Linked DNA regions of Caenorhabditis elegans. The protein of the gene in region 1 interacts with the protein of each later gene in a pairwise test. Each region holds a gene or a part of one and is shown in the gene's direction. Other genes may lie near its edges. The genes, in order: nhr-32, nadk-1, sex-1 and C36F7.5.

The links.
Region 2: the proteins of nhr-32 (region 1) and nadk-1 interact in a two-hybrid assay, tested with the Caenorhabditis elegans proteins (one large-scale study listed by BioGRID).
Region 3: the proteins of nhr-32 (region 1) and sex-1 interact in a two-hybrid assay, tested with the Caenorhabditis elegans proteins (one large-scale study listed by BioGRID).
Region 4: the proteins of nhr-32 (region 1) and C36F7.5 interact in a two-hybrid assay, tested with the Caenorhabditis elegans proteins (one large-scale study listed by BioGRID).

Annotation. Positions count from the first base shown.
Region 1 is NC_003284.9:13,248,501-13,257,583, forward strand, and holds nhr-32 (Nuclear Hormone Receptor family), read left to right. Parts: upstream 1-3,463; 5' UTR 3,464-3,475; coding exon 3,476-3,527; intron 3,528-3,730; coding exon 3,731-3,877; intron 3,878-4,968; coding exon 4,969-5,123; intron 5,124-5,171; coding exon 5,172-5,249; intron 5,250-5,386; coding exon 5,387-5,653; intron 5,654-5,697; coding exon 5,698-5,781; intron 5,782-5,834; coding exon 5,835-5,926; intron 5,927-6,394; coding exon 6,395-6,662; intron 6,663-7,397; coding exon 7,398-7,499; 3' UTR 7,500-7,784; downstream 7,785-9,083.
Region 2 is NC_003282.8:1,454,185-1,461,669, forward strand, and holds nadk-1 (NAD(+) kinase), read left to right. Parts: upstream 1-2,890; 5' UTR 2,891-2,899; coding exon 2,900-2,995; intron 2,996-3,042; coding exon 3,043-3,131; intron 3,132-4,038; coding exon 4,039-4,757; intron 4,758-4,970; coding exon 4,971-5,179; 3' UTR 5,180-5,337; downstream 5,338-7,485. Other genes in the region: col-106 (Nematode cuticle collagen N-terminal domain-containing protein), read right to left, coding at 5,712-6,602.
Region 3 is NC_003284.9:10,198,961-10,207,895, reverse strand, and holds sex-1 (Steroid hormone receptor family member cnr14), read left to right. Parts: upstream 1-2,474; coding exon 2,475-2,648; intron 2,649-2,762; coding exon 2,763-2,955; intron 2,956-3,878; coding exon 3,879-4,027; intron 4,028-4,639; coding exon 4,640-4,781; intron 4,782-5,168; coding exon 5,169-5,365; intron 5,366-5,420; coding exon 5,421-5,955; intron 5,956-6,009; coding exon 6,010-6,137; intron 6,138-6,187; coding exon 6,188-6,274; 3' UTR 6,275-6,567; downstream 6,568-8,935. Other genes in the region: nucb-1 (NUCB1-like N-terminal domain-containing protein), read right to left, coding at 7,747-7,857, 7,909-8,001, 8,050-8,132, 8,294-8,660. UniProt on the Caenorhabditis elegans protein: Transcriptional regulator which is involved in the sex determination and X chromosome dosage compensation pathways.
Region 4 is NC_003279.8:9,572,975-9,579,491, reverse strand, and holds C36F7.5 (DUF236 domain-containing protein), read left to right. Parts: upstream 1-3,165; 5' UTR 3,166-3,410; intron 3,411-3,459; 5' UTR 3,460-3,467; coding exon 3,468-3,548; intron 3,549-3,636; coding exon 3,637-3,790; intron 3,791-3,860; coding exon 3,861-4,369; intron 4,370-4,417; coding exon 4,418-4,552; intron 4,553-4,599; coding exon 4,600-4,689; 3' UTR 4,690-4,733; downstream 4,734-6,517. Other genes in the region: lem-3 (Ankyrin repeat and LEM domain-containing protein 1 homolog), read left to right, coding at 1-339, 388-473, 519-595, 646-775; F42H11.1 (Collagen triple helix repeat protein), read right to left, coding at 1,603-1,692, 1,963-2,097, 2,146-2,901, 3,043-3,135; rig-5 (Ig-like domain-containing protein), read left to right, coding at 5,115-5,343.

The DNA of each region.
Region 1 (9,083 bases):
ACAAGAATCAATGAACACGGAGTTTTTTTCAAACAATTTTCATGCAATAAAACCATTCCCTGATTTATATACATTTACTTCTGGGATTAATTTCTTGAACCAAATAGAAAAATTTGACATATAAGCTAGACTCAGAAATCAAACGTCAAGCTGAAAAATCTAAAAGTTCAAGAGCTCAACGTTTCTAATCTCATTTTTCACAATTACAAATTTTTAGTTACTTCCCCCTAATCCAATTTTCAAGTTTCAACACTCACGATGCAGCTTGCTAAACAAAAGTTCGCATCTTTCTGGGATTGTGTAGTTCCCCGAAGTATCCTGAACTCCCGCGTACATAGAGCACAACTGGTCAGCATAAAAGGTATTGACTCCGTCAGTTTCTCCAAATTGTTTGCACACCTTAATCAGTGGCTTTTTGATTTTTTTTTTAAAGATTTGACCAGATTTTTTTTTATTTTCTGAGTGTTTTTAGGGAATTTTTGAATAGGTAATTAGTTTTACTTTTAAACATTTTATGATTCAGTCAGTTTCTCTTATTATTAGCTATTCTTCGGATCTTATAAAATCTATTATTGAAATTTCAAGCTCTATAAAATCAGCAATATTTGATAACACAATTCCCAATACCTGGCACAACGTATTATTTCCCGTACAATTGAAGCAGCTGCTAATTTGAAAGAATATTGATAAAATATGCAACACTAAGAAACTCGGCATCTTCATTGCAGATCTGAATGCTAAAATGCGGCTCAGGTCGAACTTCGATGAAAATATATAATTTAGTTTCAGCGTTACTCGGGCAACCAAATATTTTCCTCGCTATTCTAGGGAAACTCGATTATTCCTCCACGCATCATGCTCCAAAAGGTTGTTTCCTGTCCCCCACGTGTTTCTAGTAAATCTACAGAACGTGTGTAGTTTGTTGCAATTGAAGCAGGGAATTGAACGTGATGATCTTTTTGGTATGATAGTGATATTACGATTGGGTACCTTAAAAAAAAAGAAGAAAGGCAACATATGACGTTTTTTTTGAGATTCCGATGAAAATTGAGGAAGTTGATCATAAAAAGTATTTCTCGGATACTCCAATTGTAATGTAAAACTTGAAGATCTGTGAGGAAACCACTTTTATTATATCATACCCATATTTTATAAAAAATTTAAGATTGCAGTAACGCATACAACAGAACTTACTTTCTTAATTTAGTATCTTGTTGGTGTCTCCTACTTTGCGCTCATTGAAATTATGGCTACCAATCAGCGGTAAGAAAAAATTAATGACAGCGTTTTATATGTGCGACAAATACAATAAAAGTTAGACAAAAAAATCGTTTCTGGTCTTTGACAAATAAATTATCCTTATTGTTGTACGTGTCAATAGCGAAATTATTTCAATACACTCAAAAAATTGATAGCTTTACGAGTTTTAATCTTGATAAATATAACCGAGTACCTTGTGTTTCAAATTTGTGCGAGTTGGGGTATGTCGTTTTCCGACATGGTTGTTTATTCTTCAAAAATAATAATCTTGAACACGCTGAACATTTTGTAGTACGCTTACTAGTTTCACAAATTTACATTTCAGTTTTTTAAAAATATTAACTTTCAATATATTATACATGAAATTGAATTAGTTGAGGTTTCCGGTTTTTCTGTAACAGTTCGCGCCTTTTTCTTATTTCATCTTCTTATTTCATTCTCTTTCCACTTCCAAATTTCAATCCAAGAGGCACACTGGTGGTTTCCAATAGGTTTTGTTTACAAGTCAAGAAATTGCGTAGCGATAAAAAAGTGATGCGAATAAAGTGGAAAAGGAGGGCGAGAGGGAGCGGGAGAAGCGGGTGGGAGCGTGCAACGCAACATTGTAGGTAGGCTGGTGTTTGTATTATAATGTGAGATGATAGTTTCGCTTTTTGGTTTTTCTTTGTTGTTTCAGAGACGGAGAGGTTGTATCAGTTTTTGGTCATTCGTTGCGAGAAATGGGAAAACACGTGTGTGTGTGTGTGTATGTTTGTAGGCGGAGGATAAGTATGGGAAAATAGTATTCTCTACTGATGATCTTTGGTGTAAATTTAGTGTTTTTTTTTTGAGGAAAAACGATAATTTAAATAGATTTTGCATTTTATTAGAATATCCACTGATTTTCTGTGAATTTTGGAAAAACAAAAGAAAATACCAATACATGTAGCGAATCAACTGAAACACACGTTTAGTGCCAATTGATATAATATTTAAGTCGATTAAAACATGTCTTTTGAATTGCAATTCGAATTTTGTTGCTTGAATAATTGTTATAATTGTTAGTTTTGATGAATTCAAAATTTTCATATCCATCATTAAAACAGTTCTTGTAAATTTTTGTAAAACATTTTCCAATTTAGTAAATTGTCATATGTATCTAGGTATTAATATTAGAACATACATATAAAGTAACGAGGCATGTTGGTTTTCAGTAGTTTTAAGTTTTTTGGAACAAAATGTTGTGAGAGTTTATGGCCCCAACAAAGTTAAAACTTTCTGAGACACCGTATAACAATTTTCCTGTGCCCTTTCTTACACTATTGTTAGGGTGATTGGGAGCAAATTCCCATGCATTGTTCAACGTTTAACGGTTTAAATGATTTTTGCTAAAGGTATACAAACGTTAATTGAACTTGTATCAGGTTTTAGCAGGAATATATCATTTCCTGAACAAATTTTGTATCAACCTTTGCTTAAGCTTTTCTGGGAAATGCCGCCAGTTTGAAGCATTCTAAGTTACTGAGATTCCTCATTTCTTGTATTCAATAGACAATTTAAAGTTTTATTAGCATGCTGTAGGTAGGTAGTAAGTCGGCAAAAACCTTTAGATTACCATCATTTTTTACTTTAGGGCACTCAAATTTGGCGATATAATCGAGACCGCAAAGAATCAAAGATCGCGACATGATTTCTCGCATTGAGGTCACACATATTCCTAGAGTACCAGATTTGTCCTATTCATCTTACCACGAATGGACCTCATTTCTCCTCACGTTTTATCGTTCGCGTACTTCTTCCTTTTCTTGCCCTTCGTTGTCTCGTCCCCAACATTCATTCTCTGCCTCTCTTTAGTCCGGTTTGCTTGTCCTGTCAATAGCACGTGCAGTCTATTTTCTCTCTTTTCTACTCTGCCACTGCACCGTTTCACGTCTGTCACTCTCCGGCTCTTGTGTGGTCCATCATTTGTACACGAAAGAAGGGGCACCTTTTCGCCGACCACCAACTGTTGTGAAAAGGAGACCAGATGAATTCATGTGCCCCGAGGGGAATTATGTTTACGTAATTTTAAATTAAGTCTAATTACTATGGATTATGACCTGGATGAGCTCATAATATCAATACCGATTTTTATTGCAACCTTTTCTTTAGAACGAATGTTCTTCTTCATTGAAAGTTGTGAAATTTTATCCACATAAAAATTTCAAAAAATGTAATTTTCCAGAGAAGGCATTTGATGTATGCAACGAAGCTCAATCCTTCACACATTGAAATATTGAGCCATACAGGTATTCAAAGTTTTGATTTTTTTTTCGTTTTCTAATTGGCTAATAAGAAACAATATATAATTTTATACTTGTTCCGATTAACGCTCAAACTTAAAACTGAAAGAAGCTTCCATAAAAAACAATAGCCTTTAACTGAAATAATCAATTAAAAAAACTCAAAATAAAAATTTTATGTCCGAATGACTAAGCATAAAACTTTTTAGAACAATGCGTGGTGTGTGGCGACGCGGCGGACGGGTTTCATTACGGTGTTCGATCGTGTCGAGGTTGCAACGCGTTCTTTCGACGAGCGGTCACTTTCAACATGAGTTTCACATGCCGAAGAGGGGGTCGATGTCCTGTTGATAAAAGTGAGTATTTTTTCAAATCTTCTAAATTTCAAAAATTGAAAAAAAAAACGAATTCCGAATAGTTGTGATAACAGGCCTGTCATGAATAAGGTCAAGATTGTTGTTACGTGCAAAACTCTCTTCTACACATAAACACAAAATGTTTTATCAGATCGCTGACTGTTTCAGTTAGTTTCAATTGACTTTTTTTCCATTCCTTGAAGTACGAATAAAAACTGCAGAAAATTCACTACACTTTTTTTAAAAATAAAGATTTTAGAGATTATTTCAACTAATTAAAAAAAAAAGGCAGTAATAAAATTAATTCATCCAAAATTTGAAATGACTTTCGATATTCTGAAATAGCAGGAACATTTGTGTTAGATGTGAACCAAACTAGTAAAACTAGGAAAAACCCCGCGAGTCATTTCAAAAATTGGATAAGTTGCGTTTTTTAGGTAAATTTATGAGGTAACATTTTTGAAAAATTAACATAAATGTATTTTGATTGTTTAAAATTTCACCTAAAGTTTTTGGTGATTTGGCAATTATTTTGATAACTTTTGACTTTCGAAAAATGCTTAATTTTAAAAACCTGGAGTGTTTAAACACATGGTTAAGAATGATAACTCGACCATAAAACGTTTTCGGCAAAATAAAAACTTAAAATCGGTAAAACCTAAATGATTTTTCATTTTTAATGTTAATAAAACAATTCAAACTATTCTTCTAACAGTTACTTTGTGGTATTTAAAATTTTTGCAATAAGAAGGTTATTTTAAGCATTTGCCCTAATGGTATCACTTTAACTTAGAATTACAAAGATGAAAACTCAATGTTTCTTAAAATTTTTGCATTGAACTAGTTTTCGGTATTCTAGGTAAAACAATGTTGCCAACAAAAATAAACGTGTTGCTTCAAAACCCAATATAGCAACACCCGAAGTGAAAGACACTCTCGCATCACTCGTGTTTTGTTGCCATGGAAATGAGCTATAGCTTCAATCTTATGATAGTTTCAATCAAAGCAATATGATTGGAAGTTTATTTAAACTCACTTTTTTTATTGGAAAAATTACGAATGGCTTGTTTTTAAACATTAATGTTTTCCAGATGCTCGTTGTGCTTGCCGAGCTTGCAGATTAGCCAAGTGTTACGCGGTTGGGATGGATAAAAAAGCAGTTCAACCAAAACGAGAAGTGCATACCTCCAATGGATCGTTCGATCAAAATGACCCCGATTATGATCTTCGATTAGGCGGAACACGGGTATGATCTTCCTTTTGCAATTATTTTAAAAAACAGAAAGTGTTTTAGACGTCTCCAAGCTATGAGCTCAGCAGTGATATGACCTCTCCTGGCTCCGCGTTCACACCATTGAATATAAATTTAGCAGTGAGTTGTTTTTTGTTATGGTTTATATATGATAAGAGACCGAAGTTTATTCTTTTACCTAATTGAAGTTATCCTTGATATATAAATTAATTTCTTGATTTCTTCAAATTTAACATCTATTATAAACGTTTCTTTAGGATTTCACACCAGCAATTCCTCCGTCACCACCTAGCGATAGCTCCCTGATAGTCAGACAAGTATACGATTTTATGGAACAAAAGCGGCGAAGGCGAGCAATGCTTTGTGGAAGTCTAGAAGAAATATTATCCGAGCAGGAAATGACGTTACGTCACCCTGCCACGTCAGAAGACTTCACGACAATATTTCAAGCCCAAATGGTTTTAATGTTCGAATGGGTTGAAAAGTTACCCGAGTTTCGGATGCTTTGTGATCACAATGATAAGGTATACACACATGTTTCTCTAATTATGTACAATTTAAATTCCAGACAAAACTTCTACGAGCATTTGCGCTCAAATACATGCTGTTAGACAATGTTTATCACACTTATGAACTTGGCTTTCGAGATCGGGTTAGTTGAAACTGAAGATGTACATAACTGAGTAAAAATGTTTTTATTTTTAGTTAGTATTGGTCAACAACAATTATATTGTTCCCGGTGTACCGATTAATTTTAAAGGAAGTGATGTTGTGGATGAAAATCAAATGAGAGATATGTAAGTTTTTTTTTAACTTGTGAAAATCGTTTGGGAATTTAACTTTCATATTTGATAGATGAAATTTTCAAATGAACTTTTCATTCAATCAAACTTCATCTAGTCCAGCTATGTTAATGCTCTCATTGCAATTGCAACAGTTGCAACAAAGTATCAGATATTTTTTCAGCCTGTTTGCACGCATTTTTTTTCAAAATATAGTTTTTGATAAATACATTTTCTAAGCAACTTGGTTTAATGAGCTACAAAACTTGCATAATTCTTATTTGAATTGGCTAGATGTCTTTTTCGTCTCAAAATTGTTTTTTCAAATTGATGAATATATGAAATGGTTTAGCCAATTCCAATCCCATTTAATTCATATTATACATAGTTCCTCAGCTTACAGTTGCCAAATTTAACATTCAGGTCTTGTTAATAAAAGTTCTCATTTTACAGCCAACATTAATTACAATACTTTTTTTACAGAATGTTCGGCGAACCCATGCGTGCTCTAATCAATGAGCTGGTACTGCCGATTGGCAGTCAGAACATGTTATATGGAGAGATTATGACGATACGAAGAATTATGTTTTGGAATCCTGGAAACGTACAGCTATCTGAAATGGCAAAAGCGTTATCTGCCGAAGCATGCAACGTCGCTATGAAAGAATTGCAACAGTATTTAATATCTGAAGGAGTTGATGATATTGAAGCTCGGATCAAGTTTATACTTCTGTTGCTTCCATCGTTTACAGTGAGCTTTTTAGAGATAAATAGGAAAAGTTGCCAGCATAAGTCTAAAAAAAAAATCTACACGGTCAGCTATCTTTCAAGTTAAAAAAACCATAGTTGTAATTACCGTATTTCCTCTATCAGTCTTGCAGCCTCTATTAGTCTGGCACCCCTATTAGTCTTGCACCACTGCGGGCCAATCGTATTGTCTGACCAGCAATAATTCGTAGAAACTTCAACAAATTCGTCATTTTTTGGTTACATTAAACATGAAGGTGTTCAAATAATTGATAAAATCATTGAAAAGTAAATATTTTGTACTACTTAGACGGTTTCAAGACAAGTTTTGACGAGAATTGGTCAACTTTCCAATGTTATAAGGCAATTGAAAATTAGTCTTGCAGCCTCTAATAGTATTGCAGTTTCTATTAGTCTTGCACCCCTGCGGTTCGATTGAAAATTAGTCTTGCATGCAAGACTAATAGAGGAAATACGGTAATTAAATATTTCCATGTTCCCAGTCGATTCAATAACGCCTTGAAAAATTAACCAATGCTAAATTACACTAAATTAAAAAAAGAAATCATATATCAAATCAAACAATTTTACTACATTACCCACATAAAGCCCAAGATGAGCACATAAAGTTTTGCTCCGACCCCTCTAGGGACATTGTCTTTATTCAATGATGACTAAATATATGCAACTGAAATGTGTTTTTTTTTTTAGTTTCTTCATGGAATTTTTTATTTTGCAGACTCATCACAAGACAATGTACGAAATTGTGCGGTTAATTCCTTCTTTCGGGAAAATGAGTGATTGGAATCAATTTATGGACGATGTTCTCAGCGGAGTCTGATTCATCTTGTTTCTTTAAATTTAAATTTTCCTGTTTGGAGTCCCCGCCAGACCGAGCTCTAAACCCCCGTCCTATTATTCAAAATTCATAAAAATTGTTGTGACTTTTTACACCATCGAATCAAATTCTTGTCAATTCTTGCTGATATTTTTCTATTCTTTCAACCACCTGAAATCAAACAAGTCAATTTATTCCATTTCTTTCAAATACATGCCATAGTCATGGTCCTTTGTTGTACATTACTGTTAAAAAAAATCAAATACGGAAATAAAAATATTGATCAGATGTCACAGTTGTACTGTTGTTCTGAAACTTTTTTATTGAGCAAGTTCTGGTAAATGTTAGCTATTAAAAACTTGAGTGCACTGATTAATTAGGATGTGAGTTTTTGGGTCTCAAAAAAAAACATTTTGTTGTTGCTTTGCATACAATGCCGGTTAAAGTGTTTTAACTCAAAATTTTCAACACTTTAAATTACTAAAATAAGTACCATTTGAAAACAAATGAGTTTATTAGAAACTTGTAGCCATAAATCCATTGATTAAATTTTTTTCATTAAACGTTTAACGCAACTTTACCAAGCTTAGTACAAATAAAAAAGCGCCAATTGAGATTTAATTTAATTAAACTTTCAGTAATAAAAAAGGTCAAACATATCATTATAGAACGGTTTAAATAAACTTGATTTTTTGAAATTAAAAATTTATTTTTGGTAATATGCGAAGTTCATGAAAAATATGGAGAAAACCTAAAATTGGTACTTGTGTATTACATGCCCTCATTTTCAAATTAAATTAAATTGTCATTAATTTCTCCAATTAAAATAAACGTGATATACATTATTCCTCTTTAGGCTTAGAAAATGTTATTTCCTAAGCCTAAAAATACAAATTGTGGTTCACGTTTTCATTTTTCATGGCTTAAAAAATTACTATTAAAATGAGGGCATGTAATACACAAGTACCCTAAAATTTAACCCCATTTTCGAAAAAGATTTGGTTATTTGAGCACAAGTGAAGTGGTTTCAAAATACTTCTCTAACTTACTCTTTCTTAAAAAAAAGACATTTTACGATTTTTTTTTGTGACTTTTGGAATTTAGTTACAGTCAATAAAATAATTAGTTTTGATTTACTTAATTAAATGAACTTAATGAATATAAACAATTAGAGCAAATACGGGACATCTTTTTGTAATATAGCGATAAGTTGTTGAGAATATATATATGTGCATTTATATGATTTGAAAGTTTTTCGAAAACTAATAAAGTTTTGGTAGCTCAATTCATACTAACTAATCATTAAAACATTCAATTAGATACATTGCAAAAATTATGGGCATACATATAAAGAAGTAAATCAAAATTTTCACTTTTAAGATAAGAAACTCAGAATACAACCATTGATAACGATTAAGTTGAAAAAATAAGGTTGTAATCATATTTTTGTCTCATTAAATTTTTTTTCTCAGTTCTAGGTCACTTTAAAACTTGCACCGTTTTTTAAAGATTTTTTTTCAGTTTCCAATTTTCATCTGATTCTTCATAAATCTCTACCTCTTTTAATTTTTATTTAAACCTCAGTGA
Region 2 (7,485 bases), on another chromosome or scaffold:
TGACAAATTCGAACTCAAATTCCATATTCATTCAACTCGAAAAATTGTATGTTAGATCTTATAGACCACAAAATAACAACTTTTTAACTATTTTGTATTTCTCTCTAAACATCAGACAAGATGTGCCCAAAAAAGTGACAGTAGTCAATTAGTGCTTGTTTTGTAGTTTGTAGTCAGCCACGTGTCATTCACGTGTATTTTGGTCGTTCTAAACAAGACGCGGTCATAAAAATGTGTACAGTGATAACGATGATGACAACATCAGGTGAGACCGGGGGTTTGGCAAAAGGACACATCATTTAAATAAATATATGTACTGTGTTGGAACCGGTGGGATTATTGTGGACAATAAATAGATAAATGAGCAAATATTATTGTTTTGAGCAAGGTGACCACCGGAAGAAGGGTCACATGGCAAAACGACGTGGAGTTAAATGTATTTTTAGATGGCTTGAAAGAATTTCAAAAACTTCTATATGTAAATAGTTGAATTTTAAATATTTTCAAAATTAACTTTGCTGCAAGTCATGGTGCATCGACCAGAAAAACCTCGCTTAGCATTAATTTCGCTTGCCTGTGGTCTGATCAAAATTTTGTCAACTAACCAAATATCAAGCATTTTTCTAGTTAGAAGTTTTTCAATATCTTCGAAAATAGCAGAGATATAGGCTCCTGTGGTTGATTTGCAAAGCATGGTGCATCGATATCTCAGTTGTCTAGGGGGTTATCATAATTTTGTCAACTACTAAAATATTTTTCAAATCTTTTTCTGTAACATTGCAGTTAAACTTTTCTTGTTGTATTTTAAAGTAGCAAAGATATAAGCCCTCAAAGCTGTTCAGTTTTGTGTGGTCACAATGTATTACAATATCACAATGATCACTTCCATAAAGCCCTGCTGAAGCCCAGGGCACAAAATTTAGAAGGGTCAGGTCGCAATCTAGCCATTTGTCATCATGGCTACGCGCACACTCACACTGTGTCTCTTTGTGTCTCGGCGGTGTGCATGTGCCTTTAAATACCCCCTTTTGAATCATTCACGCGTTCTTTGGTTCTTTGGTTCTCAAGAAGAGCGGAGAGCAATCGCGTAATTTGTGCAGCCTTTTTGATAAGACTTCTTCATGAGTTACTAGATTTAAAACTCGAATTTTTACTATTTTCTTAATAAAAAACTCCGAATTTCCCCCATTCTCACCCATTTCTCTAGTCGGACACAAAATTTTGTGGTCTCCCGTGCTCTATAGTTTTTGGTCATTGGTCACATCGTATGTTTCGAAATCATCGCCGCTGTTTTTGTTTTGAAAATTGATTTTCAACGAATTCTCTTTGGTTCTCCCAGCATAGAAAACGGTCATTTTTCTTTTTTTTTAATTGCCGAAGAAAAAAATATAATGGAATCAGTGGAGGCGCAGACTGTTAGAAAGCATTTGCACTGTTTATTGAACGGTTTGGCGCCCGTTACTCAGTGGAAGTGAGTGGTATCAAAAAATGCGTTCGGTTGCATTTATAGTTTTATGAGATGAATATTTTGTAATTTAACAATTTTGTGATAAATTTACTTTTCGACGAGGTATAGAGGTTTTAGCACAAGCTGAATCCCGCAGCCTTTTAAAATCAAATTCTCATAACGTATTTTTACTTTTAACTCCTTTTAACTCCTTCGAAGTAAAAGTTATTCAACAGTTGTTAACTTGAGCATGTAGTGTTTTTTTAAGGCGGCTATAACTCAGCGGAGGTTAATGCTATGAAAAAGATGAAAATTACAAAAATGTTCAGTTTTATGTGGTAAATAATCTTTTAATGAACAATTTTGCGACAAATCAACTATTCGACAAGATACGGAGGGTGCTAGCTTCAGCCATTGGCACCCTACTTCTCACCACTAAACCTTTATGCTCCTGTAACTCAGCGGAGGGTAGTTTTATGAAAAAGTTCACAATTACAAAAATGTTCAGTTTTATGTGGTAAATAATTTGTTAGTTAACAATTTTAGGATAAATTTATTCTCCGAGGAGATACAAGGGCAGAAATTTCAGTAGCTCTCTTCATCGGCTCCCTTGCCGCTTCACCACCAAACTTTAGGCGCCTGTAACTAAACGGAGGTTACTGTTATGAAAAAGTTGCAAATTACAAAAATGTACAGTTTTATGTGATAAATAAATTGCTAGTTTAACAGTTTTTTGATAAATCCACTTTCCAACAAATTACAACGATTTCTAGTCTTCGACACTACTGCTCACCCTTCACCACTGAACCTCCAGGCGTCTGTAACTCCGCGGAGGTGAACTCCATTAAAAAGTTGCCAACTACGAAAATACGCAACTTTTAAAGTTCTATATTTTATTAGTTGGCATATTTTTGATAACTCCTCTACTCGTAGAGATATCACAGCTTAAACTTATACTCCTTATACTCCAGCCGATCAAAACACCATTTTTTCCAAAAAATTCCATCATGGCGTCAAGTATCATTTCAACACCATTTATTTACTTTGTGTCAATTCTCAATTCTCAACTTTCAATTTCTCCTCAAAAATCAAACATTGCGAGCACATCTGAGCACGAGGGGAACAAACCACCACCTCCCACACAATTTCTATTGTTGTAGCCTACCGGAACGGTGGGCGGCGCCCAGACGTTCGGAAGGCGGAGCCCCGTTTATTTATAAATCGGGAAAAATTTTTGAAATTTTGAAATTTTGGAAATTTGAAAATAATGGTGCCATTTGTGTTGATTTTTTGGCGAATTCTCGAATGACTTTTCGTGTGTGATGAGGCGGCTGAAAAAAAAACTAACTGATAAGCTTTTCTATCATATTTTAACCTTTTCTCTCTCTCTTTTTTGATTCCATTAAATATCCATTTCCAATTTCTAATAATTTATAATTCCAGCCGTCCATCATGGCCGCTTTGGCAATTTCTCACTGCGTGAGCCACGTGGCGCGCCCAGTTTCTCCGGTAACACAAGGAAAACCGAGCGGAAGCAGACAGCAGCCGGTGAGCCAAATTTCGATTTTAAGCCTTGTTTTGGAGCAAATTTTTAGGCGATCCGGTTTGCGTTGATCCTTCGAAAGAGCACACGATGGCAATGGGAGAAGGAGCAGACGGGCTTGAGCGATGCTGATCTGAAAAAGTGAGTTTTACAACCAAAGCTGCTCGTCGATGCATCACGTTTTGCATCTCCACTTTGAAAGCTCATATCTTTGTTCATTTTTAAGATACTATAGGCACATAGCTAAAAATAATTTTATTAGTTGACAGTTTTCTTTTAAAACCAAATACAACGAGATAAAAACTGTGGAAGCTGGTTCTAGTCATTGCACCATGTCTCACGCCATTTCTAAAGCTTGTAACTTTGTTCATCTTTTAGATACTAAAAAATTGAAACTGCAATAATGTATGTCCATGTCTTCCTCCACATTCAGAGTCCATATCTTTGTTCATTTTATAGGTAGTAAAAAGTAAAAAATTTTTAACTACAAAACTGTAGAAAATCAAATATTTAAATATTTTGTCAGAAAGCAACTTTTCGATAAACCCAAAGCCAAATGAGATATAAGCTATCAAAGCTGGTTCCGGTCGATGCACCATGTCTCAAGCCACTTCTAAAGCTTGTAGCTTTGTTCATCTTTTAGGTACTCAAACAATTGTTATTACAAAATAGTAGAAAAACATATATTTCATATTTCGCCTGTGAGCAACTTTTTGATAACGCTAAAACAGACAGAGATATGAGCTACCAAAGAAGATAATTTTCGGTCGATGCACCATGTCTTAAAGTTCATATTCAATAGGTTGTTTCCTGAATTTAATTTTAATAACATTAACACTATATAAAATATGTATAAGGTGTCCGGTCGATGCACCATGTTTTGCTTCACCTATATCCTATCATACAGAAATTTGGAAAATTATATTTAGGCTAAAAACCGAAACTGTGTATTTTTCCCATGGTGTCTGCAATTGACAAAAGTCTACTGACCTCATTTGAATGTAAAAATGTCTATCAGGCTATATTCCCAGCTACTAAATCTTTTCAGGCACCTCTCCTCAAAAGGCACCAAGGTTCAAGAGCTCCTCGAAAACGAGAAGAAACAAGTAAACGCAGTGCAGGAAATTGTCTCCGAACTTGGCAAAGCAGGCATCTCCACAAAAGTTGTGACTCGCGAGCAGCTAGCCCAGTACCTGCCTGAAGCTGATCTGGTGATCTCTGCCGGTGGTGATGGAACCTTCTTGGCTGCAGCTTCCGTGGTCAACGACAACACCCCAATCATCGGTATCAACACTGACCCGATCGGAAGTGAAGGACACCTGTGTGTCGGTGGCAAGAATCCACCTCGCGATTTGATCGAGCGTCTGGTCTCTGGAAACTTGAAGTGGGTGCAGAGGACGAGGATACGGGTAACAGTAAAGGAATCCCGGAACTCGATTTTCTCATTGAAGAGGTCTGAAAAATCAACAAACCTCGCCCTGAACGAGGTGTTCATCGGAGAGGATGAAGCCGCCAAAGTCTCAACCTACAATATTTCCATCGACGATTCGCAGACAGTCAAGCAAAAGTCCTCCGGGTTGATTGTGTCGACTGGGACCGGATCGACGAGTTGGTACCTCGGAATGAACAGGATCGATGAGAATGCGACGACGTCAGTGTTGGAGGCACTGCAATCACTTGGCGTGGATGTGCCGATCACAAGGAATTTGGTGGAGAAGGTGGTGAATTCGGTGAATGAGAAGATCCCGTTCGAGCCAGATCATCCTAGTGAGTTTTTTGAAAGTTGATTGGAATTTGGGTTTGTTGAGTTGGAAACAAAATGTCAGGGGTATTTTTGATTACACAATTCCAAATATAAGACCCTGCACAGACATGGAAAAGGACTGAGAAAAGGACCCCATGGCTGGCCTCATCGTCAGGCTTCAGAAAACTCAAATTTGAGAATTTCTCATTATCTCACTTTCACTTTTAACTTTCCAGGTTTCGCCTTCTCAATCCGTGAGCCGATCTTCAACGCCACCTACAAACGCACGGCGACCCGCGGATTCGCCAGAAAGATCAAACTCGAATCCCGATGCACCAACGGATACCTGGTCCTTGACGGATCCACAAAGATCCCGTTCCCACGTGGCGCCGTCGCCACGATCGAGGTCAATCCGAATGATGCTTTGAAAACTGTGATTGTGTAACAATGATTTTGTGTGTATTGTTTTTATTGTACGGGTTTTCGGGTTGTCGTTTTTTTTGTGAATTATGAATTCGTAATTGTACATAGATTTTATACGATTTTATGTGATACATCAATTTGAAATTTGAAATTAAAAAAAAATAAATTCATTACTTTTTCATAACTGTATAAAATGGTCTCAAAAATGTGCTTCAAATGCACATTTTCTCAAAATTTCAGAGATCCATCGTTGCGAGATCCTTTGTCGTGGTGAGACCCCCCGTGGTGAGATCCCCGCAGTGCGATCTATCGTGGCGAGACCTATCGTAGCGGGACCCATCGAGGCCAGACCCTCCGTGGTGAGACCCATTGCAGTGAGACCCTTCGTGGTAAGACCCATTGTGGCGAGACTCCCTGTGCTGAGACCTCGTTCAGTGCTGATAATCTGATATGAAAAATCTGAAACCATACAAGCTGAAGTCATTTCGCAACCCCAGAAACTAAAAAAACCACAAAAACCATTTGAAATGCGACATTCTTTATTAAAAAGCTCTCTAATGAGTCTTGTAGATCTGCTCTGCCTGCGATGGCGCTGCCTCGACAGCCACCGATCTCGTTGGGCATGGACAGTAGGCAGCGTCTCCACCTGGCGCGGCATCCTCTCCCGGTGCTCCATCGGATCCATCGACTCCAGGAACTCCGTGTTGTCCTGGTGCTCCTCCGGCGCCTGGAATTCCATCGGCTCCCTGCTTTCCGTTCTTTCCATTGGCTCCCGGTGGTCCAGGTGGTCCACGACGTCCACTGTTTCCTGGATGTCCTGCTGATCCTGGAAGGTAGGTTTGTCCCTTGGCTCCCGGTGGTCCTCGTGGTCCGGCTCTTCCAGGCTTTCCTTGATGTCCTTGTGGTCCGGTCTCTCCTGGTCCTCCTGGGGATCCTGGTGCTCCATTCTGTCCGTCTTCTCCTGGGGCGCCATCGGTTCCCGGCTCTCCTGCACAACCATCTGGCCCTGGTGGTCCAGCTGGTCCTGCTGGGCAAGAGATGCAAGCTCCTCCAAAATTCTCCTTGATTGCCGCAGCATATCCAGGATGTCCATCAGGTCCATCAAGCCCATCTGGTCCGTCAAGTCCTGGAGCACCATTTGGTCCACGTGGTCCAGGTGGTCCTGCTGGGCATCCCTTGCTCTTGGCTCCACAGTTACACTGAGCGTTTCTCTTATTTCTTCCGAATAGCATGGCGGTCACAGCGGCACGGGAAGCTTCAGGGGCTCCGTTCTTGCGGAGCAGCTCCTCCCAGGCGTCATCAGCAACCTCACGAGTTGTTCGGGACTCTTCCATCACGTCGTTGTAAAGCCCATTGATGTCGGAAACGATAAGGCACATCGTTGCCAAGGATCCGATTGTGAGGACCGTAGCGGAAGCACATGCTAATGTCCCGAAGGCGCCCATCTGAAATGAAATGGTAAGGAATCAAAAATTGTACTGAATCAAAGTTAATTGTTTGCGAGGAAAAGTAAAAGTCGGAAAGTTTTGCCAATTCCATTCTTATCAGGTGCCATTATATACTAACCCCCAGAAGTTCCGCCTCTTTACTGCGAATCCATGATAAGAACCGGTTTCAAGACGGTTTCCATGGGGAACCTATACGCAAAAAATGTCTTGCTGTAACCGTGATAAGAGAACAGAAAGAGAAGGGGAAGTTGGATTGATTGGAACAAATTTCATTGTTAGCGAATAGAAGAATTTTTCAATTTTTCATTGGGCATTTGTATAACACGCAGAAATTTAAAATTAGTTTACTTAGTTCTGGAAACTTCATGGATCTCTAAAATCCAAGGCAATCTACTCATGGTGCATCGACTTCCTCGTTTTCTGGTGGTCATGGTGCACTGAAGTGAGCTCCAGATGGGGATGCACTAGGGTTTGGAATCCCCGAAGCATCCGACACCTTTCGGGTCATTATACAGCGCGTGATGGATCCAGGGATATGTCGGCCGTTTTATGTGTCCGGAATAATTGTGGCCGCTTAATTCATGGAGGTGCCTGGCACTTTATGCTTCGATATCTCTAAAGGGTTTGCAGCAGACAACTGCCGGGATTGTTTAACATCTTTAAGGACTAAGCAGCTGACACCTTGCGGGTTTTGATAGAACGGCATCTCTGGTGCTAGTAGCGGCCGACACTTAAAGGGTCTATAGCAAACGGTTGGCCTCTCCTGAGATCACGCAGGTCGACTTTTGCCGGGTAGATATTCAAATAAACGTTTACAGCAACAGGTAACAGCCGACACTTGGCGGGTTGAGTTTATTTTTTCAGAGATTATAGCGGCCGA
Region 3 (8,935 bases), 3.0 Mb from region 1:
ATTTGAAGAGTGCTCCTTTTTAATAGATTATATTCTAGATAGCCTAAAAGTGGGGTAATTAAAGTGCACTCTTAACCAACGCAATAGCCGTTTGCTAGTCTCCCTTTTTGATTTTAATTACGGTCACTGGATTTTTATGTTTCCACTAATACCAGATTTACACTTTTGGGAAGTGCAATAGAAAACCATGTTGTTTTGCTCTAAGATTGAAATAGCTTGAAATTTAATAACCGATCCTTGATTGAAGTTGTCTTAGATATACATCCAGATCAATATATTTTTTTTGCGATTTTTATATTTTCTTAATTCAAACAGTATGAATATTAGTTTCAGTGTTTTTAACACTTTCAAACTTTCTATCCCTTTAAAACAACTGAAAACACAGAACATAGTTTTTTCTATTACAAATAATCATTATCAGTTAATTATGCCCCTTTTACGGACCATGCATTGCACTATCTAATCAACTTCATCGGTTAGATAATGTTTTGTGTCATGGAAAACACTTTCCCTTACGTTTTTCCTGATGATTTTTATCTTGCTTATGTATCTTAAATCGTTAAGAGTAGAGAAAAATGAAACAGCTGTTTTCTTTTTTTTCTTGGAAAAATGCCTGTGTAGATGGAAGAACATGGTGCAATAGAAACAAATTTATGAATTGTTCAAAAATTCGTCATTTTGAAGAAAGTACATCGACAGATGCACAAAATTTCGCAGAGAGTCTTTTATGCTTTAACAGTTCCAGCTGTCGTTTTGATGAATTTTCCATAAAGTACAAAGTTAGGGTGAAGTTTATTTGTGAAACGGGAATGCAATTCGTGAACTCATAAAGATTGTGCATGTTACTGAAACGTCTCTTCGTAATAGAAACCGGGGAAAAGGCATAAGTTGCATCATTAAGAGATGTTAGCTAGGGAAAGATGTGCACGAAGGTGTATTGTTATGTCCGAGTGTACAAGTGGAGGACGAAATATTGGTGATCTAGAATTCCGTTAGTAATTTAGATGCCTTACTAGTTACACAGTTCACGCAATAGCCGGCGAGCGTTAATTGTTGAAGTTATGTGCTATATTATGTGCCATTTTTGGAGATATTAATAATATTCACTCTTATTAGAGTATCCTCCCGTCCTATATATTTCATCTCCCAAGTTGTGTATGCGCAAGCGATGTGCACCAATTTTTAAAGGTGGTTGTAAACCGGCAGACCTCTTTCCAGACGGTGTCTTGTTGTGCGCATTCGCCTCTTCTCCTCCCCTTTGCAGACTGTTCATTTCTCGATCACAGTTGTCTCGTTTTTCATCTCCAACAATTGCGGACCACTGCATTGCCTCCTCTTCTCTCTCAGTCCGCACTTTTTTGGATCGATATTTTGTTTTTCATTGTGCATATCTCTAGTTTGTTGAGTTTTCTCTGTGTGATTCTTTGCAACTCTGTAAACATTATTATCTTACTCTTCTCACTACACGTCATCGCTTCCCAACATCTCGTCACTTCTCCTCACCCAAGAGGTGTCAATTCACACCTTAACATGATGGTGAAGTGAGCTCGAGTGGATAGTACTTCATCTCGAGCCCTCCTTCTGTTGCTTTATCTTACCGTCTCCTCTTCCCTAGTTTTTTCCTGTGAGAAAGGCACGCAACCATGCAACACATTGTGTATGGAATATCTAATTGCAAATTGCGCAAGAATTGCCTAGAACAACGCAATCATTTTCTCGGGGGAGAACGCAGTAATCTTGTTCGCTCAAACTATCTTCGTTTATTTTTGTGCGTGATTGTGGACTTGGCTGATCAATTTTTGCATCCATGATTTCTACCAAAAACTTTTAAAAAAAAAATGCACACATGTGTAGTAGCGGCTTAACATGTGAAGGACTATACTAGGTAGTTATAAATTGTATCACATCTTCTCAACCTAGTTGAATTTGTTGGAAACTTCATAATGCTTTTGGAAATTGTTCTATTCAGATCACTTTTGAATTTTAATTTAAGAAGTTGAACACGTTTCTTACTTTCCGGTACTAAAATATCAATTAAAAGGTAAAATTTTACTCTAAAACCATGTGTGAAGCTCACCTCATGCCACCCGTTTTTTTAATCGAAATGTGCTTGCTTGTCGAGCAATCTCCCAGTGGTGCACTCCTCCTCAGCTCCGCCTATCCTCCTCGTCTCTCCCCATCCTCTCACCCACAGGCAGGCATTCAGCGCAGATTAATACACGATACCAGCCTTCCTTATTGCTAGTTAATAGTTCCCTGCTTTAAAAACTAATTGTTGATTTCTAGATTCTAGCTTTCCATGTTCTCTTCATCAAATTGTTATCACGTTTTTCTCGAACTGCTGTTCTTTTCCTTTGTCAGCAGATTTTCCATTTCTTTCTTTTACCTTTCAGATAATTCTCTTACCAATTCTCTGTCTCTTCCCACTGTGAAAGTTGTCCGTTACTGCATTACTCAATAATTTTAATTTTCAGATGAGTTTCGAAACAAAACCTAACTATCTGTTACTGACAAATCCTGACACACCGCTTTCTGTATGCACATCTCCATACTACAGCCCTTCTGGAAAAACAGCTTCAATTCCATCATCAGAGGCAAGCAAACCAGAAGGAACAAATGGTCAATGGTCACATCTTCCGACTGGAGCTGTAAGTTTTTGTCGTCATCATTTTCATATTTTGTTCTGATTTACAAAGTTAATGCGTAGTTTCAAAATAGAAATCCAGGAATTAAACTGAAAACTAAATCTTCTCAATTTGCAGACGTACGTGACGGATGAATTCTCGTCAGAATTCCAAATCCAAAACGGATCGACAGCAGCTCAAAGTGGTAACGCCAACAACTACGCTGACCCTCTCTCACACCGTCGCTACTTCAATAACGTCAATGGGTACAATCACCATCAGTTCTATGATACGGCGTCACAAGCCAGCGTGAGCTCGCCGGCAACAAGTGGTAAGTTAGGGAGTCTATTTCTATCAAAATCTATCAGTAGGTGGGGCATATCATCAAGTGTGTGGTGACAAGTGGCAGCAACATCTACAGCAACACAGATTTTTTTCCTCACCTAAGAACATGTGTCTGAGAAGTGTTGCAAGTTTCCGAGTTTCTCTCGCCTTTTTTCTTTATTTCTCCCATTTAATTGATAGAAGAATGAGAGCAGAGAAAATGAAAAAGTCTAATAGACTTTGCAATCATTCTTCATCTCTTCCCTCTCTGGATCATATTTAGCTCGATAGGGACCAGATCAGTTGTGCTCTGTTCCACGTATCTTCCTGTATTCTAAGATGGCCTACTTTTGTACAACGAAAGTGAAGGCAAGCGGCTATGACGTGGTTGCGTAATAATCTCCAGGTTTCGTCATTTCTTTGGACGTCCGCTGCCAGACCACAGTGATGTATGGGTACGGTAATAAAAGAATGCCGATGGGTGAAAGAAGAGGAGAAGACGAAGTGTAATAAAGGAGGAGAACGTAGAGAACGGTGAAAGAGTGCGATGTAGGCGTGGTAAAAAGACTGTGAGAGTGAGAGAGACAATGAGAACGCATATGCCACAAATCTTGAAGATGTGGCTAAGAGCTTACTGAGTCGCGGAGAGAACGGGACCAAGGAAAACTAGGTAAATACTATCACGTCATCATTGAGAAGGAAACAAATATGGTGTGCACAGTGTACTTCAATAAATTTCACTGGTATACATAGCATGTTAAATCTGTAATCTGCCAAGTTGAGTTAAATTTGTATATTTCTGATGTGTAAATAAGTTTAGAAAAAGAATAAAACAGAAGAATTCGAAGAATCGAAGAAATGTTGTATGACCATATCACCCACTTGAAAATTGACTCTTCTAAAATTTCTTAGATAATTTTACATTTACAGTAACTTCATCGTTGTCTCCTCCTGATTCCTTATCAAATGGTCATACCACTCAACGTCATCACATTGGGAAGGCGATCTCATTTTGCAAAGTATGCGGAGACAAAGCAAGTGGATACCATTACGGAGTGACGTCATGCGAAGGATGCAAGGTAGGCATGAATGGTCCTAAAATGATCACTAATCACGTGGTTCTATTGAATTTAATGAAACCCTTCTCCACTCATAAATCCCCTTCTTGTTCTATTTACGAAACCTATATTTATGACCGTCTTATTTGATTTTTTGTTTTCCCTTATGTTAGACCAAGAGCGAGAGAATGAGCACTTCCCCAACACAAATTGCGCAATTATTTGGAGACTGTGTATTGCTATGTGCATTAAGGACTCTCTTTTCCCATTGTGCGAGTGTCTTGGATGCATACTAACATAAGAGGAACAAGCCTTACTCGGCAAATACATATAATGACGGTTAATAAAACATGGTTGGTTGGTCTGCTGAGCAAGTGCGTTAGATACAAAGAAAAACATCAACTGAACGAGAAAGTTTAAGCGGATAAGATGACTAATTTAAATTTGAATCCCTCATTCTTCCCTTCTTTATTCTTGGTCATTTACACATCACAACGCCCCGCTCACATTTTGAGATTTCAAAAAATGGTTCGACTTCAGCACAAAGGCAGTAAATCCTTTACAAGGGGCGTACTCTTGGCACCGACACGTGCCATCAAATTAGTTTTTTTTTGAATTAACTATTTCTTTCAGGGATTCTTCCGTCGGAGCATTCAGCGCAAGATTGATTACCGGTGTTTGAAACAGCAAGTTTGTGAGATCAAACGCGAGAGCCGCAACAGATGCCAGTACTGTCGTTTCAAAAAATGCCTTGATTCTGGAATGTCAAAAGATTGTAAGTTTGATCAGATAGAAGTGTGCAACAATTTTGTGGTGTCAAACACACCTGACGCAGTTGGCTCAATAGGGTTTACACAAATGATAATTTATTAGAAATCAAAGTCTATTGAGGTTTTAAGGTTTGATCACTGTGAAGCCTCAATAAGCTGAAACGAAAACGATTTCTATATTCGTCATAAAACCTGAAACCATTAGTTTTTCTGAAAACATTTCAAGCTAAATTTTCACATGTTCAAATAGTGTTCTATAGGATTCACAAGTACTCATTAAAAAAAGAAAAAACTCATAAAAAAAAGAAAACCGTACCTGTTTTAAGCAAAAACTTTTTGGAAGACCGAGTTCAAGTTTTTCAAAAAAAATAAAGATTTAAATGTTGTTTCAGCTGTTCGCCAAATGAAGTTCAGAAATGCAATGCGAGATGATAAGAGCCCCGATTCCGTTTTTGTTCCGGAAATCTCAACGCTAGAACGGCAAGAAGAAGTTGACGCCGTATATGAAGCTGTACTCCGAGCACACACTACCTTCTCATTTTACACTGACATTAAAATCCGAAGTATTGTTGCAAGACCATTCAATGTCGTAAGTAACTTTTGGGCATGTTTTTAAAATCATACTAAACGTTAAAATGTTTCAGAGAATCAATGAAGACTCAAAAATGAATCGATTGAATGCCTGGCAGATTTATGCTCATGAAATTGACGTGGACATCAAGGAAGTTGTAAACTTTGTGAAAGAAATTCCAAAATTTAATTTCATTAACGGAAACGACAAAGCAGTTTTACTCAGGAAAAACGCTTTCCCACTCTACTTGCTTCGCATTGTTCGTGGAATGTCGAACAGAGGGCTTATGCTTCGAGATGGAAGACTCATTGACTTTAAGTCTCTTCAACTGCTCTATGGATCATTGGCGGACGAAATGCTTGCATTTGCAAACCATATCATTACAATTGGATGTACAGACGGAGATATTGCACTATTCATTGTCCTTATTCTTTGCCAGCCACTAACCACGGAACAACAATTTTCTACTAACTTCAAAAGTCAATTGCAGTTGCTGGAAATGTTTGATTTTTACAAGAAAGTTCTTTTCCAAAAAATGACATGCCGCATTGACGGATGCGATACATACAAACAACTTATGAAATGTATTCATGAATTGAATCGACTTAGTAAGTTGTATTTCATACTGATATTTTGTTTTATTTTATATCAACTTTTTCCAGATGAGCTACATAAACAGCAACTCAATATTCTTCGAGAAAATTTGTCGTTTTTAAACCTGCCTCCTCTCGTTGTGGAAATGTTCCAACTCTCAACACTTCCGTTGCCTGTTAACCATAACAACCAAGAGGTAATTATTAAGGAGCTATAGATGGGAGGTTAATATTAAACTTAATTCAGAACCAATATACTCCTGCTCCAGAGCATCAGAGCCCTCAACCACAGCAGCCAACGCCAAATCAACAACAGACTCCCGTTCACTGCTAGCCACCTTTGTCAGATTCTCATCCGTTTTCATTCCAACACAATTCACCTTCAAATAATTTCGCTTTAATGTAGTTAAGTATTCAATCTCTCCTTCCTGCCCGTTTCCAACCCAAAAGTCACGTGTCTGATGACTGCTGTTTAATAATTCTTGCAAGGATTGCCACAATCCAGCATTTTGCTTTCTTTCTCAATAATCTTAATCTTTTTTGTCATAAGTATCACAACCAGACGGTTCTGGTTTATTCACGATTGGTATCATTAAAATGATTTCCGTGCTATAAATTTAGTATTTGAAAGAATGCCTTAATAACTTCAATATTGCAGTTTTTAATAACCCTCTGTAGGTCCAGTCCAATCGAGCTCCAAAAATGAAAGGCGTACCGATGTCAATAGAGAAACATTAATTATTTAATTTTCAACGAGTTGTAGAATTACTTTCGTTATTGATTATGAAAACGTATGCGAGTAAAACCAAAAACATCGACATCGAACATCGGAAAAATCGAGACACATGGCCGTCGACCTCTATCAGAATGGCTCCGATCTCGATTGAACTGACTTTTACCTCGAACAAGCAACTTGTCACAGGGTTCTTACTATTCAGTATTCAGCAAAAAGTGAGCACACCTGTATTGACTGAACAATATAGAATAGTTTTGGCTATTCCGTTAGGAGATGTTAATGCATTATGAAAGATTTATTTTTTTCAAGACCAAACGAAGGCATGATTCTTTTAACTTTCCTAAGAGCTTCATCTTCATGCGTTAACTGTGCTAGAAAACAAGAAGTTATGGTTATGAGAAAATTACAGGACGAGTGATATTGTTTTTGAAATATAAAACAGTGAGAATCAAGATTTTCAATAAAACTGTGCTCGCGGGCGATATTCTAACTACAAAATAACTATTTCCAAACGCAAATGTATCATCTTAACCAATGGAGATTCTTGTTTTTGCTTCTTGAAATTAATAATTTCGGTTCAGTGCTGAAACTTTTAAGCTGAAACAAATTTTGACTTTTTTCACGATTGCCGTGACGGAACCAATTAAAATTAGGTTTTTCTTTATATGTTCCGAATGTTTAACTCTTTCACTCGATTCAAATTTTCCAATTATTGAATTGAAGTTTTACGCTGTCTATTCGCAAATCTGCAAAGCTCTCCAAAAGTTTTTTTTTCTTTTTCGCACTGCAATCCTAGATTGGTGAGGTAGTGTTTTTTATTTACTTATTTTCATATATAAAAATATTCTGATAAATGCGTTCATTTCATAATATGCAGTTTTTGTCCGAATTGGGATTAACAGGTCCAATCGACAAAGGAATAGACAGACAAGAAATGGCCAATGACAATTCTGAATGTTTGAAAACCTATTCAAAAGTATACAACCCGGGTTTCGACATTAAGTTACATATTATCTCAACCAAAAGCATTAGCATTTTAAAACAAATTAGAAATCTACAACTGATATAAATTAAATTCCGTATGTTGGATCTTTAGTGTGATCTTGGATGGGTTCATGGTGCACAGGGGGCAAATTTTGTTGAGGTGGTTGTTGCGGTGGTTGCTGTGGAGGTTGTTGTTGCTGTAAAAAGGGTAGTAATTATTGGATTTTCTGAATGTCAGTTTTTGGTACCTGTTGCACAGGCGGTTGCGCATTTTGAACAGGTGGTGGATTTGCATTCACCGGTTGAATTGGCTGTTGAGCAGGGTGAACTTGTTGCTGAGCCTGTGAAAATGTCAAATGATTACATTACTATGTTAAGTAACTTTATACCTGTGGTGGTTGTTGGACAGCTTCTTGCGGATGTTGTTGTTCTGAAGCAACTTGTTGTGGGTCATATGCATGTTCTCCCCATCCTAGTTAAAAATCAAAATTCTAAGTAAGGCATCACTATTGCATTTTTAAAATGTTTTAATAGCTTTATAATTTGAAATCAAAGTAAGCCTGCGTGTTAGTAAAAACTCAGAAAAGTGTTAAATGGAACAAAATGCCTGCTAGGATTAAACCCCAAACTAACCTTGTTTTTGTGCATATTCTCTTTCAAACTGCTGGAGTTCTTCATCCGTATACACTTTCTTCTGTCCCAGATCTTCCCATTCTTCTTGCTTTGGTGGATTTGAATTCTGATTGTCAGAATCATTCAAGAACTCTTGCATAGAGATCATGCGATCCTGATTAACATCAATTTGCTTCATAACGTGCTCTCTCATACGGTACATCTCCTCAGCTCTTTCTTTCATGTCGTCGTCTGGGTTGGTTTCGTTATACATTTTTTCAAGCTCTAGTTGGAAAAGAGATTCCAGCTCAAAATCATTCCAGAAACCATCTCCGTTCAGGTCGTGAAGTGCAAAAAAGGTTTTTGGATCGTATTGATCTTTTTCAAGCTGAAAATTGAAGTTATTGGAGTTTATTTTATTGAGATAAAAATGGTTTTTAAAATAATGAAGTTATAGCTAAATTCCAAATAAAAAACATTATTAAAACCTATTATAAAAGTACGTTTTTCAGTTGTTCAGTGAAAAATTAATAGAAAATATTTAACTTTATACTAAAACACAGATTTATTTTGCTTTCAAACATTATGTTCATTTTATTATTATATAAAAAATCTCTTTGCTCCCTTGTTACACTGTCACTTTTCAAGATAATGACTATGCTG
Region 4 (6,517 bases), on another chromosome or scaffold:
GCAACGGATTTTTGCCAGCTGATTTTGCGTCGAGAGCTCGAAAATGTGATGAAAACGTTCGGAGTGAATTTAGTGGAAATGGATTCGGATATAATGCGTTTTGCTATCTCATTATGGATCCTCGAATTTTGGGAAGCAATGTGGAGAACCTTACACTTGAAACCTTTGTACGATCAATCTTTTACGTAGGAAAAGGTTCAAAAAATCGTCCATTAGCTCATTTCATTGATGCTCGCAATGAACGGAGAGACAAATTGGATAAACTAAAAACTTGCGAAAAGTTGAAAACAATTGATGAGTTATGGACGCTTGGATTTGGTATTCCCCGACATGAAATATGTAGGTTTTGATATAATTTTATTTCAACTCATATTTTCTATTTTTCAGCCCACGGAGTATCTGACGAAGAAGCGTTTGTGCGAGAAGCAAGTATTATCGAAGCCGTGAAACTTAAAAATCTGAGGAATAAAAAAGTAGGTTGAAAAATAAGTTTTATACATTATAATCTCCATTTTCAGGCCGGCGAATTTCACGGAACCACCAAAAGCTGGGACAATATCACTAAATCAGAATATGGAACATTTTTGCTGGATAGGTGAACATCTCGCCATTATTTTTCAATCTAAATAATTGATAATATTTTAGAGCATTATCAACTTTGAAGCTGGAAGGTATTCGACTTATCACCGAAGATAACCTTCCTGACAGTCTTTATCCATATGTGAACAATCGACGTGGAGCAGGTGGTGGACGGACACCAAAAACACCGAAATAATATAAATACTTCATTTATTCCATATGTTTATATTTCAAATTTTACCTCATAATGTGAGCTTAAAACTAGTTTTTTTTTCATCTTAGTTCCCTAGGCCTGTAAGATCTTTCACTTCATCTTGATCTCGTTTCATATTTTCTTATTATATCGTTTCCTCCATTTGAAAAACTTATTCATAAAACTTTTATTATAATTTGAACGTTTTCTTGTTATACAACTCAAGTGCAATTATACTAAATCTTCCCATTCGTCGTCGTTTCTATCCTTCTCACTTCTTTTCATTTTCTCCTTTTTGAGCTCAATTTTCAGTCGTTCAACTTCAGCATTCAATTTCTCGATTTTTGCATCTTTCTCGATTTCAGATCCCTCAAACATTTCAATTTTTCGTTCGTGATTCCAACTCTGTTGCCTCAAAACTTCTTCCAATTGCTCTGTTCTCTGCTTGTAGTATGTCAGAACTTTTTGAACATTCTGCATGCTCTGAAAATTTAAGAATTTATGGATATAAGTGGTTCAAATGAGTCCAAAACTGAAGAAATAGATATAAAATCCAAAAAGAAAAGAGCATCTGCTCAGGTTGTCCAGGAGACGACATCGAGTGGTCAAGAGGGTTAATCGGATAATTAGTCAGAGCAAGAATGAAAATACAAGCGTTCTGAAATCGATTGAAATGACGGGTTCCCATATATTAATAATTTTATAGTCTCGTAAAATAATAAAGAGTGCGCGCAGTTATGGGTTACTGTAGTGTCTATTGTTTTTTTTTAATAGGCAAAAACAGTTTTGGCGAATAAAAGCATTTATTGTAGATTTCAGATCATTTTCGTCTATTTCTTCTTCTTATCTGCACCGAACACATCTCCACCAACAGCTGCCAATGTCTGGTAGTTTGGATCCATGGTTGCTGCCTTTTGACCCTAAAAAAATACAAAATAAAATAAATATTGCACCGAAATTAAAAATCTACCTTATTAGTCGGTTGAATTGGCTAAAAAAGTAAAGGTAAAGGTTGTCCGTTTGGTTCAAGGGTGAGCCTAAGCCTCCTGCGGACAAGAGATTTATCAGGGTTGCTGGTGGCGTTTATATCTCTTCTAGTCTGAATTTAAGCCGTACCGGGACTAGCGGTATGGCCGATTTACTTTTTTTTTTAAAAATAATACAATATTGCAAGAAAATTAAAAATCTACCTTATTATTCGGTTGAATTGGTTTCTTTCCTCCAGGTGCACCAGCTCCTCCAACCTTCTTATCAGCTCCAAAAACATCTCCGCCAACTGCTGCCAATGTCTGATAATTTGGATCCAATGTAGCAGCTTTTTGATTCTAGAATTCAAAAATTAAAATCAAAAATCTTGAAAAAAAAAATGCAACTTTGTTCATTGGCTGAAGTGGTTTCTTTCCTCCGGCAGGTGCTCCACCAGCTCCTCCACCATCCTTTTTATCAAAAACATTGTTATTAAGACCAGCCAGCGTTTGGTAGTTTGGATCATGTGTTGCTGCTTTTGCACCGATATTTGCAGGAGCTTTTGGTCCACCAGGTGTTGCAGCAGGAGCACCTCCACCATCCTTCTTATCAAAAACATTATTATTCAATCCAGCCAATGTCTGATAATTCGGATCGTGAGTAGCTGCTTTTGCATTCTGATCAGCTGGAGCAGCTGGACCTCCACCACCTGCAGCTGGAGCAGCACCATCCTTCTTTCCAAATACGTTGTTATTCAATCCAGCCAATGTTTGATAGTTCGGGTCGTGGGTTGCTGCCATTCCGGGTTTTGCATTCGCTGGTGGAGCTGGTCCTCCTCCTCCTGCGGCTGGTGCTCCATCCTTCTTTTCGTAACAATCATTGCCGATTCCAGCAAGAGTTTGGTAGTTTGGATCGTGAGTTCCTAAAATATATTGAATATTATCAATATCTTGTTTCTGAATAACTAACCAGCCATTGGAGGTTTTGGTGCTGCAGCAGGGGGGGGGGGGGGGGGGTGCACCTCCAGGAGCAGGAGCACTTGGAGCTGCTGAACCACCAGGAGAAGGGGTTCCGGCTTCAGATCCTTCCCTTCCATCAGGAGTTTTCGCACCATCTTTTTTGCTGCTCAAACTTGATTCGCCTTCAGCTGATTTTGCGTTTTTCTGAATAACGTAATGTTTGAAGTAAGACGACCTGCTTTGTTTAGAAAAAAAACTATCGCGAATTACACAACCTTTGTAAGCACGTAGGTGGGATGATGTGCTTCAGTACAACACTAGAACACTAATCAGCTCAAAACTCACTTTTCCTCCACATCCAGGCAGTGCTATAATTGCTGCAAGAGATCCGGCAGTTGCCAAGATCAAAGCAATTCCAATGATATCTTGAACGTCCATTGATAGCGTCGATAGTCGCAAACTTGCAGTTGACAAGCTCTTTATTGAAAGGTTTTTTGTGAAGCGTTGCACGTGTAATAAGAATAATGCTTGTTTAAATTATTAGCGCATTTTTCCTATTAGTACATTACATGCAAGCCTATTTTTCGATTTGTCATCCAATAAACTGCGTGTTCTAAAAAAATTAAATAAAATAGAAACGCATCAAAATAATCATTACCTTCCAAAACCTTGTTATTTCGCAACTTTTACTCTTGGACGCGCAACTTAACATTGTAAGTTTTACAAATTTCACTTTTGACGAATCGAAATTCTCATTTTCAGAGAGGAAAATGCTGCATTTAATGTCATCGTTTTTCTACATATTCTTCACTTCGTGTGCAACAATTCAGGTTCTGTTCTTGTGCGGAAAGGTATTTTATTCGAAATTTTGGAAATTTGGATTTGATTTTTTGGAAATTTGGAATTTGGAAATGATTTGGAAATGAGAATAATTTTCAGAAAAAGAAAGGCGGTAGCAAGTTGGAAAACTCGGAAGCAAGCACAAAAAGTGGAAAAACTGGAAAAAGTGATAAGGGCGAAAGCTCACCGACTCCAGCATCAAAAGATGCCCCACCAGCTCCTGCTGCTCCAAATGCAAAACCTACAATGGCGGGTAAGTATTTGACAGCATTCAATCATGTCTATTCGATAAATGTTGAAATCAATAAACTCGTAACTTTCAGCCACGCACGATCCAAATTACCAAACACTTGCTGGACTCAACGACAATGTTTTCGAAAAGAAAGATGGCGGAGCAGGAGGTGTAGGACCAGCTCCACCAGCAAATGCAAAACCCGGAATGGCAGCAACCCACGACCCGAACTATCAAACATTGGCTGGATTGAATAACAACGTATTTGGAAAGAAGGATGGTGCTGCTCCAGCTGCAGGTGGTGGAGGTCCAGCTGCTCCAGCTGATCAGAATGCAAAAGCAGCTACTCACGATCCGAATTATCAGACATTGGCTGGATTGAATAATAATGTTTTTGATAAGAAGGATGGTGGAGGTGCTCCTGCTGCAACACCTGGTGGACCAAAAGCTCCTGCAAATATCGGTGCAAAAGCAGCAACACATGATCCAAACTACCAAACGCTGGCTGGTCTTAATAACAATGTTTTTGATAAAAAGGATGGTGGAGGAGCTGGTGGAGCACCTGCCGGAGGAAAGAAACCACTTCAGCCAATGAACAAAGTTGCATTTTTTTTTTCAAGATTTTTGATTTTAATTTTTGAATTCTAGAATCAAAAAGCTGCTACATTGGATCCAAATTATCAGACATTGGCAGCAGTTGGCGGAGATGTTTTTGGAGCTGATAAGAAGGTTGGAGGAGCTGGTGCACCTGGAGGAAAGAAACCAATTCAACCGAATAATAAGGTAGATTTTTAATTTTCTTGCAATATTGTATTATTTATTGTTTTTAGGGTCAAAAGGCAGCAACCATGGATCCAAACTACCAGACATTGGCAGTTGTTGGCGGAGATGTGTTCGGAGCTGACAAGAAGAAAAAATAGAAGATCAATTACTTGTACATTTCCAATAAATACGTCAGATCATTCACTTTTTCCAGAAGACAATTTATTTTGATAAATAATTAATTTATTGGATATCTGATTGCAAAACTGTGCTGTAATTGTACTGTATTGGTGATGTACGTAATTCATTTTTGATTTCTCAAGTGACTTTATTATTAGGTTAACTGCAGAAATCAACGGATTGATAATTGAAAGTAGTTAGAGTATCCGTTTGATGTGTCGATAAAAAAGGATATTGGAATGTTCTATAGATCATATTGGAATAATTGTCTTACAATCAGAATTGCTCACTTACATGAGTTAGTTCGCTCAATAAAAACAACTTTAAAAAAGTTTTTTTGCTCTCTTCATTGCTCAATCGTCGCTATTACCCATGGTTTGTCTAACCGGAAAACAGGAATAAAATGTGTGTGTCTTCTTCTTTTTCTTTTTTCTCTTCCACCCTCTTCCCTTATTTCTCCCGACTCCATCTGTGTCTTCTTTTCGGAAAATGGACCGCCCGTGACTCCGCCCTCTCGGGAGCACCTACCTTCAGAGGAAGAGGTCGCTTTGTCATTTTATTTCATATCCCCCTTCAAGAGAAAATGTATCTATTCGCACTTCTTTGTGGTGTATTGTTAGTTTTTAAACAGGGTAAGTTTTCTACATTTTTTGTTGTTGCCAGAGGAAAAGGGGGAGAAGAGTTTCGATATAGAAGATTTAGAAAATTAAATTTGGAATCAAACTCTCGCGCGGAGGGGATATTATTAGTTAACAATGAGCTGTAACGAAGAAAGGCAGCTCTAAGAATCCAAGAGACTCACTGAATTCCCAAAAAGTTTTTCATTTTACTTTCTGATTGACCATCATGCTTGTCGATGGAACTCCACCGACATCTTCCTCGATTTTAGTTTTGCCTACTATTTTGTGTCACCTTTTTGATGGTGAGTAATTTGGAGGTTTATGTAATAGTCAGCACTTTGAATATGTTTGACCACAGGGTACCTTTCTTATTTAAACTCTGAAAACGTTTCCCTTCCAGTGTCAAAATACCGGAGGCGCGGTCCACCCGCCTTTCAGTCGCCTTCCTCGCGACATTCCGAGAACGGACATTTTTTGTTACATTTTTAAAATGTATGTTGAACTTTTGTAATTTATTTCAGTGCTTTTCTTCTAATTTATTTTTCATCTATCAAATTTTTTGGAGGTGTTCTCTGGGCGAGAGGAGAGTCAGTGCGTCGTGACGTCATATATTCTGTAGTGCAATTTCATGTAGAAAAAGACCTCATTCATGTGAAACCTCATATAAAACTGTTATTCGAAAAATCCTTGAAAAAACTCATAGTTTATAGCTTATAGCTTATAGCTTATAGCTTATAGTGACAGACAATTATTCATACTTTCATATCCTGTCTATAAGAATTTTTGTCAAAGTCCGAAACATATTTGCTCCCGTGTTTTTATTTTATGTCTCTAAAATAGATGACACAAAATCGGAAGACCTCTCCAGCTAAACGATGATGAATGATTCAAAATTTATTGGTGAAAAGGGGCAAAAAACAAAAATAAGACGAATATAAAGAAATGATACCTGTGAGAGTCAGTAGTCTATGAAATTCCTGAATACTTGTTTTGTACTGGGAAATTTCGAATCGCAGAAATGCTAGCCACTAAACATCTGTGGGATAATCCAAAAAGTTTGTTCTATGTGAAAATAAAAACAATTCCAATTGGATTATTACTAGCCAGTGTTTTAATTCGGACAGGTAGTCATATAAAAACTAGTATTTTGGCGTTCAATATATTCTTAAAGCAGATATTTCACAGA